Drosophila melanogaster: one gene and its partner. The gene in region 1 interacts genetically with each later gene. Each region holds a gene or a part of one and is shown in the gene's direction. Other genes may lie near its edges. The genes, in order: Zip71B and ZnT41F.

Evidence for each region.
Region 2: of Zip71B (region 1) and ZnT41F, changing one enhances a phenotype caused by changing the other (phenotypic enhancement), as found in Drosophila melanogaster (one study listed by BioGRID).

What each region holds. Positions count from the first base shown.
Region 1 is NT_037436.4:14,989,351-15,000,545, forward strand, and holds Zip71B (Zinc/iron regulated transporter-related protein 71B), read left to right. Parts: upstream 1-2,938; 5' UTR 2,939-3,121; coding exon 3,122-3,265; intron 3,266-5,232; coding exon 5,233-5,515; intron 5,516-6,795; coding exon 6,796-7,092; intron 7,093-7,149; coding exon 7,150-8,144; 3' UTR 8,145-8,633; downstream 8,634-11,195. Other genes in the region: mnd (minidiscs), read left to right, coding at 499-717, 796-1,391, 1,480-1,866; mRpL39 (mitochondrial ribosomal protein L39), read right to left, coding at 8,709-8,768, 8,830-9,272, 9,446-9,546, 9,611-9,935, 10,187-10,259; Prosbeta2 (proteasome beta2 subunit), read left to right, coding at 10,718-10,779, 10,850-11,029.
Region 2 is NT_033778.4:5,778,067-5,786,268, reverse strand, and holds the start of ZnT41F (zinc transporter 41F), read left to right. Parts: upstream 1-3,410; 5' UTR 3,411-3,492; exon of another isoform or gene 3,493-3,970; intron 3,971-7,555; 5' UTR 7,556-7,774; coding exon 7,775-8,068; intron 8,069-8,142; coding exon 8,143-8,202.

The sequences.
Region 1 (11,195 bases):
ACCATACATTTTCGGCAGACACAAATTAGCATAATTTTTAAAGTTTGCTTTTCGAAATATCAATGGAAGTTCAATCTGATCTGATCAGAATGTTTGAACATATTTTTGAAAATCAAATATTTATGCTACCTTTTTCTAACTTTTCATGTCAAACTATTTAAGTACTAAATAAAGTTCCATAAATCTTAATGAAGTGAATGGACAGAGCAAATAAAATAAAATTATCACCAATTACTAGGATGGTCGTAAAAAATGGAATAGTTAGTACACGCTTTTTAAGCGTTTCCAAAATTTCTCCAATTGCTGGAACAACCCTCCTTAGATAGGCAAATGCATACCTCAAAGCATTTTCAGAACTGTGTCATGCTTATCAGATTGTCAACGTTTGCTCTCTATTAGCCTAATCACTTTTTAAACATTATTCTCTTGGGATGTTCCCCGTGAACTACGCCGTAATGAGCAAATTTTCTTCTATAACTAATATTTTAACTTTTCCAGGCACGATGATACCCAAATCAGGCGGAGATTATGCCTATATAGGCACTGCATTTGGTCCTCTGCCTGCGTTCCTTTATCTGTGGGTGGCCCTGCTGATCCTGGTGCCCACGGGCAATGCGATTACGGCTCTGACTTTTGCCATATATCTGCTGAAACCTTTTTGGCCTTCCTGCGACGCGCCCATTGAAGCTGTTCAGCTGCTGGCGGCTGCCATGATATGTAAGATTCGCTGATAGCTAATCGGTGGTGAGACTAGGCATAGACTATATTGACTAATTGCTTGATCTTCCACCCTAGGTGTGCTGACGCTTATCAATTGCTATAATGTTAAGTGGGTTACGCGTGTGACGGACATCTTTACGGGCACCAAGGTGGTTGCCCTCCTGGTGATCGTTGGCGCCGGAGTCTGGTGGTTGTTCGATGGAAACACAGAGCACTGGGATAATCCCTTCTCGGGAGGCCTTCAAGATCCTGGATATATAGCCCTGGCCTTCTATAGCGGCCTCTTCTCGTACTCCGGCTGGAACTATTTGAACTTTGTAACAGAGGAGCTCAAGGATCCGTACCGAAACCTGCCCAAGGCCATTTGCATCTCAATGCCGGTGGTCACGGTCATCTATATGATCACGAATATTGCATACTTTTCGGTTCTCTCGCCAGACGAGATCCTTTCGTCAGATGCAGTGGCAGTCACGTTTGGCGACAAGATGCTGGGGTATATGTCCTGGATTATGCCCTTCGCTGTGGCCTGCTCCACTTTTGGTTCGCTGAATGGAGCGATCTTCGCGTCCTCGCGACTTTTCTTCGTCGGTGCAAGGAATGGTCACCTGCCGGCCGCCATTTCGCTGATTAACGTTAATTGCCTGACACCTGTGCCCTCGCTGATATTCCTGGTAAGTTAGAGGCTTAACCTAAGTAAAGAATCTATAAATATTTGTTTTTATCAAATTATCATGTTCTTTTCTTTTTTTAATTTCCCAGGGCGTGCTCACCTTGCTGCTGCTGTTCATCGAGGACGTCTACGTACTAATCAACTACGTCAGCTACGTGGAGGCGTTGTTCACGCTGATCTCGGTATCCGGACTGCTGTGGATGCGCTACAAGCAACCCAAGACGGAGCGACCCATCAAGGTCAACTTGGCGCTGCCCATCATCTATCTGATCGTCTGCCTGTTCCTGGTCATCTTCTCTTGCACGCAGACGCCATATGTGGTAGGAATCGGGACGATCATTATACTGTCTGGAATTCCGGTCTACTACCTGACCATCCACAAACCGGTCAAATGGCTGGCGGACACTTCGCAGGCGATCAACCTGTGGTGCTCCAAATTCTTCATCTGTATGCCCAACCAGGAGAAGTTCGACTAGGACTGCAGGACTCTACGACTTTGGGAAGAGAGGGCCTTTTGTGGATGTATCGATCAACGCAACTATAGAAGGGAATATCTTGTAGTTAGGATAAGTCTCAATTTACCCCTAAGATAGGTTAGCAACGCGAAATTTTGAAAACCTACGCACAACATTACAAAAGTGTTATTGTAAATAACTCAAATGCATTCTGGTAGGGAAGTCCCTGCTTCAATTAATATTATTTGTTAGTCGTACTTTTAATGTATATTTCAAACCCAAAAAAAATGAGTTCCTCGTCGAAAGCAGAAGTACGCCTGTTATACAAAATGCGAACCAATTTTTACATATTATACAAGTAATTAGGAGCTTATTCAGTAAGTAATAATTATTATTGATGCAACTTTTTGCGAAATGTAAAAAATCGAATTTGTTTTGTATAAGAAAGTTAATAATAAACACATTAAACTTTAATCTTATTACTTTTTGTGAAGTGGGCGGAAATTGGCATTTTAAAGGTAAAAAAGTAACTTATATCATTTCGCATGGTATCTATTTAAAGTATCATAATTATCTACCACAATATTTATTAATTTTTTTAAATATTTTCATTTTCTAGTTATTTTTCCTACTCCAGCGAGTTCTAAAACTCACTACTTGATGAAAGCGCCTTTACAACGCCTTTAGGTATGCAATCTTTTTCTTCATAGTTACAATCTACCGGATAGTTTTTAGTATAAAGTATTGTTGCTTAATAATAACATTTAGCCAGATTCTTAAGATTATGAAAGGAAAGTGTAAAACTTTAGTATTTTCAATTTAAAGGCTGAGTACACTATTTAATGTGAGTTTAGCCGATGAACAGGTTAATCGACTTTATTAATTTTTGGCGCTCAAATTTGATGGTCCGGCGAAAGCTTTTCCAAAGCTCAATCCAAATGACAGTTAAGTTTGTAGCGAGTGCGCAGAGCGATGAGTTGCCCGCCCAGTGGGCGAAGGAGAGAGGGAGAAAGGAGAACGCGCCGACGCTCGTCGAACCGAAAGTCGTATAAAACGTTGCGTGGGCGAAACTGTCATTTCAAAAGACCGTTGAACGGGATCGGTAGTTGGCTGCAGTGTTACGGATCGCACGCGTCTGTAAAAACTCGAAAAAATCCCGGTGAAGCCCCCAGTGAAATGACGAGTGACCAGTAGATAACCGGGTTCAATAAAACGAATAGAATAAAACGAAAAGAGAAATACTATCTACCACCACCTGAGTGTTCAGTCCATTACGATGGCCCAAAAGCAGGTGCTAGTCTTAAACCTATTTTGCCTGGGCTCACTATTTTTCAAAACAGTGCCAGCTTCCACGGAATACAACAAATACGTGGCGCAGATATTTCAAAAATACGGCAACGGCGGGACAATCAACTTTGAGGTAATAACCAATAAACCATCGAACTAGCCTTGTAAACACACACAAGAGCGTAATTTGAGCACAGGTAAACACAGGTAAACAAAGTCGGACACGGGACAAAGCTTTTGCGGTTAGCGTTATGGCAAAAAATTAGTGAGTTTGTGTCTTCTTTTTTTTCTCTCGTTTTTGTCATTTTTGGGCCAGCAACAAAAACAATGTGTGGGAGGGGGGGGGGTGTTCTCATATGATTACGAGTTAATCAAATATTTGGGCATTGTGAAAGTGAAACAATTGTGTTCTGGCCAACTCGGCTTGATCGGGCAACCAAAACACTCTCAACAGCGATTATCGCGTCACTTTTAAAAGGTTGTAATCTTTATATGCGCGCAGCAATTTTATAACACAGTGGGCAGACAGCAGGCACTTCGTATGATACAAAACGTAGACTTTATTGCTGGCATTATCATAAATTTAATCAAAATCCAGACTAACGAGCAGCACAGGCACAGTGAGATGTACAGTACGAGACTTGAGCATCAACACGACGAACAACACCCACCCCCCGCCCAAGACATCCTTCTATATCCACGTCGGAGATTACGAGATGATAAGCCCGATAAGACTGCTTGCTCCTCCTCCTAATGGGCGCACACTGGATGCCCGATAAACCAAAGATACAAAAGCAACCGCAACTTTCGCAACGCGATCGTTATGCTTATGGACTCCAAAGCTATAGTCCGTCCGATTCCGAACAATCGGAGCCAATTGACATTACTCATGCGTATGGGCTACGCAATACGGTGTGTCCATTTGAATGGCAAGCCGCTACTAAAAATGTTTTTACTTTTTACGCACTCGGCATACTAACATTAAGGGTTGGATGCCCGATGCCCCATGTCTCATGTCCCATGCCCACCCAACCGTCTCGTATTCTATCATCATTCTAATATTCCAAATTTGATTACATATAGCACACTTGGCACACAAACAAATCTCAGCTGAATGAAAGTAAAATTCGCCATTTGGTGGCTTCATGAGCTACATAATAAATAGTTTTTTTTTTTTGTGTGTGCCAGCGCGTGTGTGTCTAATGTTTGTTCATATGCAAATTCCGCCATCCTGATCTTGGGAATCTGGGCAATTCTTTGGAGCCACTCATCACACGCCGGACACACGCCCCGATCCCCGGCGACAGGTCGCTGTCGAGGCAATTAGATGGGGCTCCACCGCCGCCCCGGGGAATCTCCACCCACTTTAGCGACAGCAAATATGCGACAGAATGGAGGAATAACAATAAACAAATGAATTCAGATGTAAATATAATTGCCTGGCACGTTGACAAGTAAATCAAGTAATTATCGGTGATAGATCGCAGCCAGAGTATATACTTTGACAAATTAGTTAAATAAATAGCAAATGCGATCGATTTGTCGGCGTGAAATTTCGTGGATAGCTACTGTGAAAAATGTGCAGCAGGTTAAGGTTTGTTTTTAAAAACGATTTCAGGACGCTCACCGAAAACAAAACAGCTGGCAGTTGTTTTGTTGCGTTTACTCCAGCTACTTCGAGATTAATTGTTGTTTTTAAATGGGTTTTAAAACTTCAAGGTTGCACTTACTGTTTAAATAGTTTAGGGAAATCACAACTATCTAAAACTATTGAATTATCAAACTTTCTGAGAATTTGTGCATAGATATTTGTAAGTCTATTTATCATTGCCAATGTTATTTTAATACCTATTATCAAATACTTAATTATCGTTAAAAGAAAATAGTTTGTCTACAATTATTGAAGCATAATGCTATCTGTCCTTATCATTAGATAGTTTACTTATATTTTGCGCCTTGCAATAACGTGTGCCTTAATCACACTTGTTTTACTTTGGTTTTGTATCTTGGAAAACTTCCAGATAACGTCTAAGTGCTCTCTAAATATGCTGTAATGCTGCTTTAAATGCCTATTAAATGAGGAACTAAAATATTTTCCAGGGTCTTGAGCATTTGATGTTCAGCCTGAACTTGGGTCAAATCCAATTCGATCCCTCGCACACGATCGATCAGCATCGACCTCAGGGATACTCGAACGAGATGCCGCATGCCACAAATGTAACGTATTACTTTGAGCCGACACGAGTCAATGCCACCGATGAGGAAGCTTTGGAGCTGCAAATCTCTCCTCGTGGCAATCACTCAAATTCACAGTCGGAGGCCGAGGTTCCGGAGTTCCTAGAAATTCATGACCCCAAGCACCGACATCCGAGGGAGAGTTCTGGTGAGTGGCGTCGTTTAATATTTAATGAAGATGTGCACCAGTCTTATCTTAATGGTCGGGGATTTCGCACTTTATTTCCAACCGTATTACTGTATGTATTTGCCGACCATCAGCTATGACTGATAATACCTAAGCTACGCCAGGATAGACAACATGGTCATAAATCTTAGGATAATTTGTTTTAACACTTATTCCGGTTCTCCAGAATCCACCAGGTCTGAGAAATTCCAAAAAATACGCGGATTGAAGCTCACTTGACTGGCAGTTAATAACAAGCATATATACATGATAAAACACCAGCCACCTGTGGCACAATACAAAATTGAGCCCGGCAGAAGTATAGTATATATATATAGTATAAATAGATGAAGCCCTCGACTTGACTCGACTCTTTCCATCAATTGGCCGATTTCCAAGTGCAAGGCGACCGGCGACTGCGGTCTATCATCAATTCAATTATGCCATCCCATCCTCCATCCCATCTCATTTGGTTGATAGGAAGTTCCGTCTGTGATCGTGGCCTTGTCGCATAAATTATCATTACCATGTATGTGCGTATATATACTTAGTATCAGATGCGTTTTTCTTTCTCCTTTTGGGCCGTAAATGTAGCCGTAAATCAACAGGTAGGAAAGATCATTGTCAGCAGGCGACGAAAACAGGGCGATAGCACGATAAACGGACGCATTATGGATGCGGAAATCCAAAAGAAAACAACAATTGAACGGATTCAGATACAGATACAGATACAAAACGAGAAACAAACAGGCCTCAATCGCTTCGCTTGTTATTTATTTTTGTTGGCTAAGCCTTACAGTTTTAATTGAAGTGCACACAATCATTACAACGTTGTCCCATATAAAGTTAACACTAAACAGCCGACTGGATTAATGGCAAGTTTGCACATGCGAATTGGATAACAATCGACTGCTGAGAGAGGGCAACGTGTCGGAGTCGAAGAAATACGTTTGCTATTTCCATAGAATGAGTGTAAACATGGGAAAAAGAAAATTCCCCATACCTAGCATTATAAACAAAGTGCTTAAAAGGTTTAAATTAGAACAAACAGTTGCTGCTCATAATGTGAACCCAGCCAGCGCTATATAGTAATGCATAACGTATAGATTAAATTGCAAACTGCAGAAATCACAAGTAATTCACATGCAACAAGAATTACTCAATGCAGTCCCAAGGTGCTTATTCCTTAGACTTTTACCTTAAACAGGAAATATTTTCTCTGGTTCTTAAAATTACATTACTTTTACACTTTTTATTTTCAGAACCTGTTGCCGCTTGCTTATCACCGAAGTCTTTACTTTCCCTCATCGTGAACCACAACGATCTCCACAAAAACATTGCCTACCGCAAGCTGCTCATTAAGAATGACGTTAGCTCAACTGATGGCGTCCACAATTCTGAAGAGGAATACAACGAATTCATCAACTCGGTGCGGATCACTCCGCGAGCTTTTATGAAACTCTGTCCAGCTCTATTAGCCCAGATCGATAATGGAGTTTGCAAGCAACCAGCTGTACGATCAGTAAACCTTAACGATAAGAACCAGAAGATATGGTACGGTAGGTATCTATAATTAACACTTTGTTATACAAGATAACTTACCTATATCGATTTAGCTTGGATCTATGCCAGCATCACTATGCTTATACTGTCCGCTTGCGGATTGCTGGGCATTCTTCTGGTTCCTTTGATGAAGTCGGCTGCCTATCAGGAAATTCTCAAGTTCCTAGTTTCCATCGCTGTGGGCACTTTAGCTGGCGATGCCCTGATGCACTTGCTCCCCCATGCCCTTTTCAAGGAGGAAAAGCACGAGGAGGAAGTCACTGGTATCAATCCCTTGGAATCTGATCACAAACATAGCAATGAGGCGGCTCTGCTATGTGGTTGTACTTTCCTGGCTGCTCTATTCATGTATATGCTGGAGAACCTGATTCCGCTGCTAAAGGGCGGTAAGCCGGGTCATGGACATAGCCACGGACATGGTCACAGCCACGGCCGCAGTCATGGACATATGGAGAAGCCAGCTGCAAAGGATGCTATTGATCTGCCACCTCCTCGAGAGCTCAATGTGATGTTGCAGGAGGCCAAGCTGGATGAGAAGACCCCCGATCGACCGCTCACCCCAGTAGCCTTCATGGTAATCATCGGAGATGGCTTGCACAATCTGACCGATGGTCTGGCCATAGGTGCAGCCTTCGCAAGTGATCCGGTCACTGGATTTGCTACCGCCTTTGCCGTTCTCTGCCATGAGTTGCCACACGAACTGGGCGACTTTGCTCTGTTGCTGCAAACAGGTGTCTCCATGCGAAGAGCCGTCTATATGAACATTGTTAGCTCAGTTCTTAGCTTTGTGGGCATGTCGGTGGGTCTCTTTATTGCTGGAATTGGAGACGGCATGACCCAATGGATTTATGCAGCCACCGCTGGTTCCTTCCTGTATATTGCTTTTGCCGATCTGGTGCCCACAATGAGTGTGGCCCACAATCCGGAAAAGGCCAAAGATCCAAAGGGTATAATAATACAAATTTTTGGTATCCTTCTGGGTGGACTGATAATGTTGGCTATTGCCCTCAATGAACACGATTTAGAGGGCCTGTTCAAGAGCTTTTAAAGAATAGCTCTGAGTCTCAAACAGCTTTGTTAATTTTGTTTTCTTATTGTAGATAGTAGTTTAAGAATATGTTTCTGTGGAATCTCTGATTCTCTTGCTTCTTTAAGCATGCCTTACTTGTTAGAGATGAAATCGTTACCAAATGTTAGTCTGTGGTCAGCTTTATGTATGATTTAAACAGCACCTTCCTTAGTGTTATTGAAACTTTAATATTAAAATATAAATGTTTTTAAAGAGACAATTAAAATAAAAGAACTGTGAGCAAAAAAGAGAAACCCTAGCATTGGCAATTAAAAGAATATAGAATCATTAAATCGTAAAATAAGACCAAAGTGTTCTTTTATATAAATTCTGCCTTACGAATGCTAAATCTATAAATAATAAGAGCTATCCAGAATTTCATTCCATAAGATAATTAGCTTGTAAGTTAAAATGGTAAAAGCAGAATTTTGTTTGCTCATATCCTTTTAAAGACGGATTTTCTTTGTTATAACAAATTAGGACGCTCTTTAATGATTTACTTTTTTAACACTTACAGTATAGTTTTAAATATTAAAGAACGTTTTAAGATAATTGCAGTTGTTGTTGTTCCTCAAATGGTTCATTGGGCAGTCGTGCGGGGCTCTAAAATGTGTTTTAAATTTGTGACACAGCTCTTTATCGAAAAACGTCGAGATATACTCACAGGTTTCTTAGAACGCTCCTCCAATACACCAAATGCAACATGATTCAGTTGGAAGCCAGACGGCAGTGCAACGCCCTGAATGCGATAGAAAGCACCAGAGGGACCCTCCTCCGCAACTTTGTGGGCAGCCGAGATGACGCATTTCCCCAAAAAGCTGGTAGACGCCACCATTGGACCGCGTGAGATGTCGATATGATCACCCAGGCGATACAAGGTGACCCTTCCATTGGTCTGCTGCGAGATGCTGGGCAACTGTTCGCTCTTATACTTGGAATCCTTGAACATCTCCTGGGCCAGATCCTGTTGGACGTCCAAACGCTCGATGCGCAGATCCTGAGCAGCCAGTTTAACCATCTCTGCCGAAAGGGCGCGCATCTCTTCTTTTCCTGGCTCCCAGTTCTGGGTTTGGAGCACAATGTCGTGTACGAAGCTACCTGATTTGACTGTGAAATGTAATAGGAGTAATTTTATAATTTGTCTCGCTTATAGAATATTCCAGACAGTATTAGTTTTAAGATATATATCTATGAAATTTTCATCCAATTAAAAGGGGGAAAGACGAAACCTAGTAAAAAAAATATCCTAATCTTAAATCCTAAAAAGTGATTCTGCTTACTATTGGGTCCAGGAAAGCTGTGGAGCTGAAGATTGGCCTCCGGCTTGAAAGCGCGGTTCAAGGCGGCTCCCAACATAAAGCTGCAAGTGCGCCAGAATGCTCTAAAAGTAAACAACATAAGCAAGTTTAATATAAATGCCATATTATAAATAGTATAGCACTCACTTGTTGACCACATGTGGCTCGGAAACATGGAAGTTAAGCAGCTGCAGAGTACAGGATTCCTGCAAGGGTCTGTGCATATCCCAGGGAACACTGCCGTCGATCAAGGCCAGTGCCGATCGCTTACAGTGCCCCTCACTCAGATGCTGGGCGCAATTGAAGGGCGTTGAGATGTTGCCGTTCATCACCAGAGTGACATCCTCGGGAAGTCCCAGATACCGCACCTCGATCTTATCGATTCGACCCACTGCATCCCGTTGACGGCGCTGCTCCTGGTTGAACAGGTCATTCCGCTTGGCTAACGATGCAGAACTGCCACTAAAGTTGGCTGTAGGGATAATTAATAAGTTAAAAGACATATTTTATAGTACAGTTTCAACAAATTGAATTTAAATTATGGTTGACTATCTAAAATAATAACTGGGATCTATAGAAATTCTAGCGATTTTTCCGCCAAGACATCAACGAACTGCCATCACTAGCCGAAGAGCTCCGCGGAACGTGAATGACTGCCGGCATTATGTAAACCACTTCCTCCATCTTTGGTCAATAAAAGGACTCCTAATTAGTGTTACTTACCCTTAGTTCTGTATTGTTGAAGCTGCCGCAGGGCGCACCAGCTTGTTTTATGTAATTTGGTGGCCGCAGACATGGTAAATTACCAAAATACTCTTCAGGGATGCAGTTCACAAAAGTGATGGTACTATGCCAAGATGGTCAGGTGGAAACAGTATATCGATATTTTTCAAACATGACTATTCGCTTACAAAAGATAAGGGGCCTTCCTAAGCACTTATTGCATGTATACTGCGGGGAATATTTCCAAACATTAAAAAGTTTTAAAATTATACAATGCAACATTAAAATATTAAAATAATACAACATTGAATAATTTAAGTTACATAAGTCAAATTATTAATAACGTCAAATTATTAATAATTTATTTCTTCAATACTATCGCTCTAGTTGAGTCCATGAATATATATCGATACAATATCGATTGTACTTCCAGCTCTAGCAAGCATTTAACAATTTTGTTTGTCATCGCGCTCGGCAGAATTAAAACCTTAGTTTTCCTTGCTAATATAGTTGAATTGAAGAATATATATAATGGATTTGGATAACGCACGCGATCTGCCCCGCGCTGGTTTCAATTTCGACAACTGCAAGCGGTAAGAATCGTCCAAGTTGTTCAGCAATACCCCATCGGCTTTTATTAATTGGTGTTTTATTTGCTTTCAGCAATGCAACTCTTTTGAATCGAGGCTTCAAGCCACCGACCACCACCAAGACGGGAACCACAATCGTTGGCATCATCTACAAGGATGGTGTTATTCTGGGCGCCGATACGCGAGCCACCGAGGGACCCATTGTCTCGGACAAGAACTGCGCCAAGATCCATTACCTGGCCAAAAACATATAGTAAGTCCACCGACGGTATGCGCCTTTAAGTGCACAGGGAACCTAATAATACTATAAGAGGGATTACGGTATTTTTTCCTGCATTTCAAATGTGGGCCTATTTCCTTGTCCTCGCCGGCTTAGATCAATTTGTCTCCAATTTTAAGGGGCCCGTGTTTTAAGTTGA
Region 2 (8,202 bases), on another chromosome or scaffold:
CCACAAATTTAAAAACATCGATATCTTTTCACATTATTATTAGTCTTGTAATTTTCAATCGATTTGTAAAAAAATTCGAACGCTCCAAACCCGCCCAAAACTGCCACGCACACATTTTTGAAAAATTGCCAAAAAAAAACTTTCTACCACGCCCATTTTAACGTCCTATAGCCGTCACGCCCAGACTTTTGAAAAATTTTTACATTTGTTCTTATTTTATTCCGCAATATCTATTGATATTCCAGAAAAATTATGAAATTTCGCATTAGCACTCACCTAGCTGAGTAACGGGTATCTGATAGTCGGGGAACTTGAATATAGCATTATCTCTTGTTTTTTTATTATTTCAGTTTCTTTAATCAGTATTCATTAGTCGCGTTATTCTAAGTAGATTTTGTTCAAAATATTTTCACAAAAATAAATCAAAAAATTTTTTACTTTTGCTTATTTAGCTTCCAAGATTTATTCCGGTGTATAATTAGAAATTCTTTTTTCTTTATTGCTTTTGTGCATTATTTCCAATATATGTAAATGTTAATACAGACAAAATACACTCAATTTTAATCCTCGGCAAAAGATCGATCTTCCGGCGCAGATGAGCTGAAATAAGATCGTGGAATTTTCCACAAACACTACGAATATATACGAACACATACATACTTTCCACAATTTTCCGAACCAAAACGAATTTAAATAAACTTATCTTTGCAAAATTTATCCCGAAAATTCTAAAATTACATTCATCTTAGGGAAAATAATTAAATTAGGTTAAGTTAAATAATATAAAAAAATATTTAATCCTAACGGAAATTTAATTAAAAAAAATTAAAAATACAGAAGTAATGTAAAATAAGTTTCCACCTGGGGTACATATTTATATAAATTATTACAAATAATACAAATAGTTGCGGATATAATTATTCGGAAAATTTCACTGTAGATTCGCAGTTTGGTATCTTTCACGCAGGTATAGGATTAGGTATGACAGAATTTAGCAAGCATCTTTATATTTTTTAAATTTATTTTTAGATGTTTACTTCAACAGATGAATTCTCCTAGTGTATTCATATCTCCTTTATATCTCGTCCACGTGCGTAACTTTTTTTTATTAATATACATGTTATGTATCTTTCCAGCATGTGTTAAAGTTAAATAAAAATCGTAGGTTTTGTTTATGTCTGTTAATCGATGGAAAGAGGTGCTCCACGGGAGCTCAACGGGGTGCTCCCCGGGACAGCACGAAAGGGTGCTCCACGAGCCGGCTGATCACTGACTGATCACTTTTCACTTTTTTTGCGTGGCGTTGTTGTTGCTCCAAGCAAAAGATTTTCCAGATTAAGTTTCCGCCTGGGAAAAAACACACAAAAAAAATGTAGACCGCATACCGTTTTGCGGCGAGGAAAGCTCGCTAGATTATTATATCATTAACGCGCGCAGGCTATAATTTTCTAAAAAACAGTTGAATGAAAAAAATGTTCACGAATTGACTTTACGACGGTTCGATTAGAAAAGAAATAGAACGGAAACTCAAGCCTGGGTCTAGGCCATCAGAAGAAATCATGATCATCTGGAAATCACTCCATTTGTGATAACCAAGCTATCCAAAACTTTCCTAGTTCAGCTGATAAAGATTTGCATCTCGTCCAGTATATTTCCTATGACTAATACTGCATTTAATATGACCCTTGATTACACGCCCAAAGCTTGGCTCAAGCTTTCAGGGTGTTCTAACATAATAGCTTCAGGGGTCGCTACAAACTCCACCTATTAACTTTAATTAACCCTAATTAACAACTCTAATTCCTCTTCCAATTTGCACACCAATGTTTTCTCTAAGCATAGCTATTCTGTTTGAAATAACTTAGCTAAATGATCGTCGAAAGTGCATTTGCTTAATACATATACATACATTCATACACATACATTCTTTGTCAAATCAAAACACAACCAAAGAAAATTCGATTATTCATCCGTTCTTTATGACAAGCACCACTGCATACAACTGTTTTATAACAATCTCCTTTAATTGGTCCCGTTGTAATAAGAAATACCACATTCCGGGAAGCAGATTTTGCTTAAGTGCTTTTGCATCTTGATAAAAAGGATGGGGCGGGGATGAGAAAAAAGAAAGTAAGAAAACGAAATGGATTATCGGATTTCCTGCGATTTTTATTATAGGTAATATAATAATTTCATGAGCAGAAAGAAATCTTTAAAGGTATAATAATATATTTTACTTTAAGTTTAATCGTAAACTGAAAAGAACCTGACAACAAGACGATGGAAATTTCTCTCTTCAAAAATAAGTACGGATATAGTGATTAAAACACATTGAAAAAGTGATGAATTGAGCGGTGTTTAAGCGCCATTGATATCAACTAAATTGTAGAGTCGAATATGAATATGAATATATGATCCAGAAAATCCGTTTGAAAAATTTATATCTTACTTCCACTTTCTTGTTTTTAAGGATAAACGCCTTTCATATTACTATGTACATATTTTAATTTTAACAGTATTTGATAATACTGCTTTACTGTGGATGAACTTGATAAGGATCGAACCGCTGATAAGTCTAGTCTCAACTGTGTCGATTTATAGTTCCCCGATATCGAAACTCGTCATAAAGTGTAAATGTATTTTTTATAGCGCCAGAAACGTTATCTTGAACCTTATTTTTAAAGATTACCTTTTAGTCTTCGAGTTGTGTTTATAATCACGTTCGCGAGCACAAAAGTGTAGATAACGTCGACTTAATTTTCCGGTTACACTAAAGAAACCAATTGAAATGATCTGATATGTACCTTACATATACATAATCAGTGTCTAGCGTCTTCGGATCGGACGTTAAGGACGTTAAGAACTTCCTTTTTGCTTTTGGCTTTCAGATGCCTAATGATTTTTTTTTTTAAATTAAGAAATAGAATATAAACGAAAAGAGAATGCTATAGTCGAGTTCCCCGACTATCTCAGCTAGTGTGAATGCGAACCCGAAATTGCACGATTTATTTTTTTTATTGGGATATCGATAGATGTTGGGGAATAAAATGAGAAAAAACTTAAAATTTGACCGGTTCGGCAGCTTCAGGACGTTAGAGTGGGCGTATCAAAAATTTTTTTGGAAAATGGATACATGGGTCAACCTTCTATCATTTATAGTGCCAGAGATCTCGACGATCCTACTTATGGCACATTCTTTTCTGACTCCACTTAGCTGAGTGATGGGTATATGATATTTCTGATTGTAGAGGAACTAGACTCTTCTCTCTTATTTTGATAAGCGAACAACAGACGCAATTCCCAAGTCCTTTGAGAACCACTCAAGCGTCGCCACTCAAGAGAAAAATGCCCCCACTATCACTGTCTCGCTCTACCCAGAAACCAACTGAGAAGGCGACGCCGTCACCGCTGTTAGTTGAACTTCACGCGTCGCCGGGTGTGCCGGGAAGTAAGCAGTCGCTGACGATCGGAAATCTAAAACAATTACAGCGAGTAGGGCCGTGTACGATAAAAAGAGAACACCAGCTGATAGTGCACGACAGCGGAACATTATTGTAGTCTCTCAACTGAGTATTTCGTACATTCACATATTTTGTTTACATAGTCCATGCAATGCGCATATGGCTGGGAACTGGAAGATTTACAAAATACGATTGGATACGAACAAGTCATAATAATGATTTAAATTTTAATGTTCTGAAGAGTTTAAAATGAATATGTTTTTAATATCAGAATTTTACGCAATTAAGCCTAAATGAGACTAACGCCAATGGTTCAGTGTGATACGTGAGAGTGAATACAACGAATGGGCGCTCCGTTGTGATCTCTCTTTCCAACGGAACGTACATATGTACATTCATATGTATGTGCATAGTTATGTGCAGCATCAGCAGCTGAGTAGAAACATATGAGAGAAAGAGAGCCGCGGTCGAAATTATTACTCATTGCCAAAGTCAAACCTGCTGATAAGGTCAGTGCACGCTCAGCGCCGGCATTGTTTTCTTTACTTTGCTTTGACTTGCGGTTAAACTCTCTGGTTGGTGGAGGATCTAATTCTTATTGGTAGTTTTCTCGCAAAACGCTACGTCCCATAGCTACATATTTACAAATCAAATAGATTACAAACCACATCAATTTTAATACACGTATGCATGCTATTAGAAATTATATTATGTTATATATACATGTATATATGTATATAATATAATGGGTTAAATATGCCAAAAAAAAAGGTGCTCTAGAACACCTAGCCAAGAAAATGAAATACGAGCCCCAACTACTATTATTGTTTTGTATTGTGTTTCGAACAGCATGTGTTTTTTGCGGTGTGCAATGTTCAACACACGATATGTATACTCATTACTACTACAGATAACGTATGCAAAAGTATTTAGTCTGAAAGAGAATTTTATTCTCTTCATGTTGATAAAAAATGTTATATTTTCAACAACAACAACAGAGATAAGAAAAAAAGGCCACTATTAATTCGAACGCTGCAAAGTATAACAGACTAATTAACATAAGAATTGTGTAACGTCGCGTCCTGGGCTGTATTACACATTAAATACGTTTTGGCATTGATTTAAAAAAATTTTGGCCATGTTCTCGAGAAATCGATACCCACATCTCTTTGAGGTCACAAATGTTCCTCTGTGGTTCATTCGAAGCTTTCTTTTCATTAGCCACCAAATATTGTTTATGGGGCCTAGATCTGGACTATCTAGCCAATCTAAAACCTCCACTTGCTTATATTGTAGTCAATTTTCCTACTGAATCCTTTCCCGAGCCCATTGCAAACTCGTTTTTTTTTTTGCGAAGCGTAAGCAAGGGTTTTTCCGTGGCCTACAAGTAGAGTAAAAGGGTATACTAGATTCTTTGAAAAAGTATATATATTCTTGATATGGATCAATAGCCGAGTCGATCTGACCCTGCCCGTCTGTCCGTCCGTCCGTATGAACGTCGAGATCTTAGGAACTATAGAAGTTAAAGAGTTGAGATTAGGGATACAGTTTTCAGAGAGATAGTTTTTACTATCTACTAGTTACTATTATTATTATTACTATTATTACTATTATTACTACTATTTACTATAGTACTAGTTTTACAATACCAGTATTTCGACACTGTTTTAATTTGATATTCGAAACCATAATAACAGTCGCAAAATGTTTGGATTGTTAACAATTTTAGATTCTTTGCCTTAGCCGTTTGTTGGCTTTACATTTTTTGGGAAGACAAATGGTAGAATATACAAAATGAAAATACAAAATGTGATCGTGTCAGCTTAAGCGATAATGGTAAGGTTTTGAATCAAACTTACATACATAGCGATTTGATTACCCTGTAGCTTTTATAGTTCCCGATATCTCTCGATATTCATCTCTTGCCCTCCAACTAGACAGGAAAAGGGTATCTTATTGTCTATCAAAGATAATAACAAGCTCTTCTGGCGATTTGATTGGCAACAATATGCTTTCGGTCAAAACCTGCCGAGAAAACCCAACGCTGATAACCCAACGGCACACAAGCTAGTAGGACTACTTTTGCTGATAAGCATACATGAATCAAATGAAAAAGGTTTAAATTGCCAGTAGAGTTCCACCAACGTGCGATCCGTTGTTGATAAATGCATATCTACATTACTTAAGTTGTGGAGTGTAATAAATTTAATTGGTTAGTCCTTAAATTCTAACAAGAGAGAATGCTGTATTCGAGTTCCCCGACCATCCGATACCCTTTACTCAGCTAGTGGGATTGCGAATGCGAAATTATTCATAAATGAATAAAATAAAATGAGAATGAAATGAAAAAAATTAAAAATTGACAAGATAAACAATAAAACGAAGAAAAATCGACAAACTTGCGTCTGTATGCTTGATTTCAGCCGTCTAGCTTTTATAGTTTCTGAAATCAAGACGTTCATAGTATGACGTTCATACGGATAGACGGCCATGGCCAGATCCTATTCAAGAATATATATACTTTATGTGGTTGGAAACGCTTCCTTCTGCCTGTTCCATATTTTTCCACGTATCTAGTATACCCTTTTACATTACTAGTAACGGGTATAATAAACAACATTTTGTTTAGCTATCATTATACGTACATTGTATAGAATAATCAATTTACCTTATAAGAGTTCCTTAAGAGTTAACTTAAAATGAAAACGTTTCTAATCTGCAATAAACTACCACTGTATTATTTAAAATTTTTGTAAAATCCACGTTTAGGCAATCCACGTTTAAGCAGGGTTTAACATATGGGACCATATAATCTTCTATGTAATTTCTTGCACGCTTAGCTTGAAGTTTACATAAAGGGGCTTACATAAATAGGATGCTGGAAGTGATCATGAATTCCTCTCCCTGAAAATTATTTTTTAAATGCTGCCCTTGTTACACATTTCCCTAGACATAAGGAAAACAAGAGAGAATGCTATAGTCGAGTTCCCCGACTATCAGATACCCGTTATCATTTTTTTTATTTACGTTATCAATATTAAAATGTTTATAACTAATTTCCAAAAGAGATACCATTGTTGGCCTCGGGAGTTTTGACCGACTTGCTCTTAGTTGCCATAATGTTTTCGATTTCGTCTGGCTTTCATATTTCTACTTTACCTACAATAATCAATATTTATGAATTTTATTTAAAGATCTTCTTCGAGTTTCTTACCCTGAAGACAAATAGTAATTTTTCTTGGCTAAGCAATCAAAGAGCTACCATTAATTTGTATCCTTATTCAAAGGTATACGGTGTATCTTTTCTCTGTTACCTAACTAGTCCCATAGACTTCAATGTAAATGTAGTGATAATGGTTTGAAATGTACTTTTAATACAATGAACAACATTATTTGTTAATTAAACAGTAACTTACAATGTTATAACTAAGAAAACTTACTGACAAAGTAAACACACGATTTTCACACACGATTCCTATGAGGGCTTGAGGGATTAGCATTGCATCATGTGCTTGTCGATGTATATCCTCTTTGAAGGTCCAGCTCGTGACAGATCATATTAGCCCATAGATGGCTTCCAATTATTTTTAATCTATATTCTATAACCTTTCTAATATGTCCATATATACAATAAAGATCAAATTTTCTGCACCTAACTCTTACTGTCGGGGTAAGGGTCTTGGGACTAGGGAATCCTTTGAGGACAATAAGGCATTTGGTATTTTTGAGGGCACTACTTTAGTACTCCCATTAGCGAATATATCATAGCAGTAAATGCATACATGTTTGCCCTTTTAACGTCTACAAACCAACCAAAAGTGTCACGCACTTACTTTTGAAATATATGTTCGTCTGTATGAACATTGAGATCTTTGGAACTATAATAGCTAGAAGGTTGAGATTAAACATACAGATTCTAGAGACAAAGACGCAGTGCAAGTTTGTTGCCACGTCCACTCTAACGCGCTAAACCCACCCAAAACTTCCACGCCCACATTTTTGAAATATTGTAGGGTCATATATCAGATATCAGAACCATCATTTAAATAAGATTGTGAAATTTAATAAAATTTAACATATTTTCATAAAAAAAGGATGTCGAATGTAAGCTTTTCAACAGTCTGAACCAAAGAGAAGTGATCAGTTTCCTACACAACAACTGATTGATTTACTATGACAGATGCCGGACTTCTCAGTTTACATTAATTGCTCACTTCTCGTTAACCAAACATCAAATTCACAAGTCGACATAAGGAGATGCCGACACTACTGAAATATTAATAGCATAAGTTCACCATTTGACACCAAATAACATGCCAAAATATCAGAAGCTTGACAACACACTGTTGCCCAACGCTCACGATGACGACTCTGAAGGGGGTTTCCCGGGTTACTTTGATGATAATCATCAAAGTTTGGGAATCCAACAGGATCCAGATACTAGAGATGATCGACTGTCAGATTACCAAGATAGGTATTACAGCGTTAACAACAATAGTGTTAATAGGGAGGTGGTGACAATTGGGTCAAATGTCGTCCGGGTTCCAGAGGAGCAAACCTGGGAAGTGCCACTGTTGGGCGATTGTGGTGACAGTGCGAGAAACCAGGTAAATGAAACAACCAAAGGACTACTTGCATGCACACACAAATATTTACGAACAAATTGTGCGGCCCATTGCAGAGCTCGGAAACGGAATTTGATATGCAGCGTGAGTGCTGCAATCATCAACCAGGGTTCAGA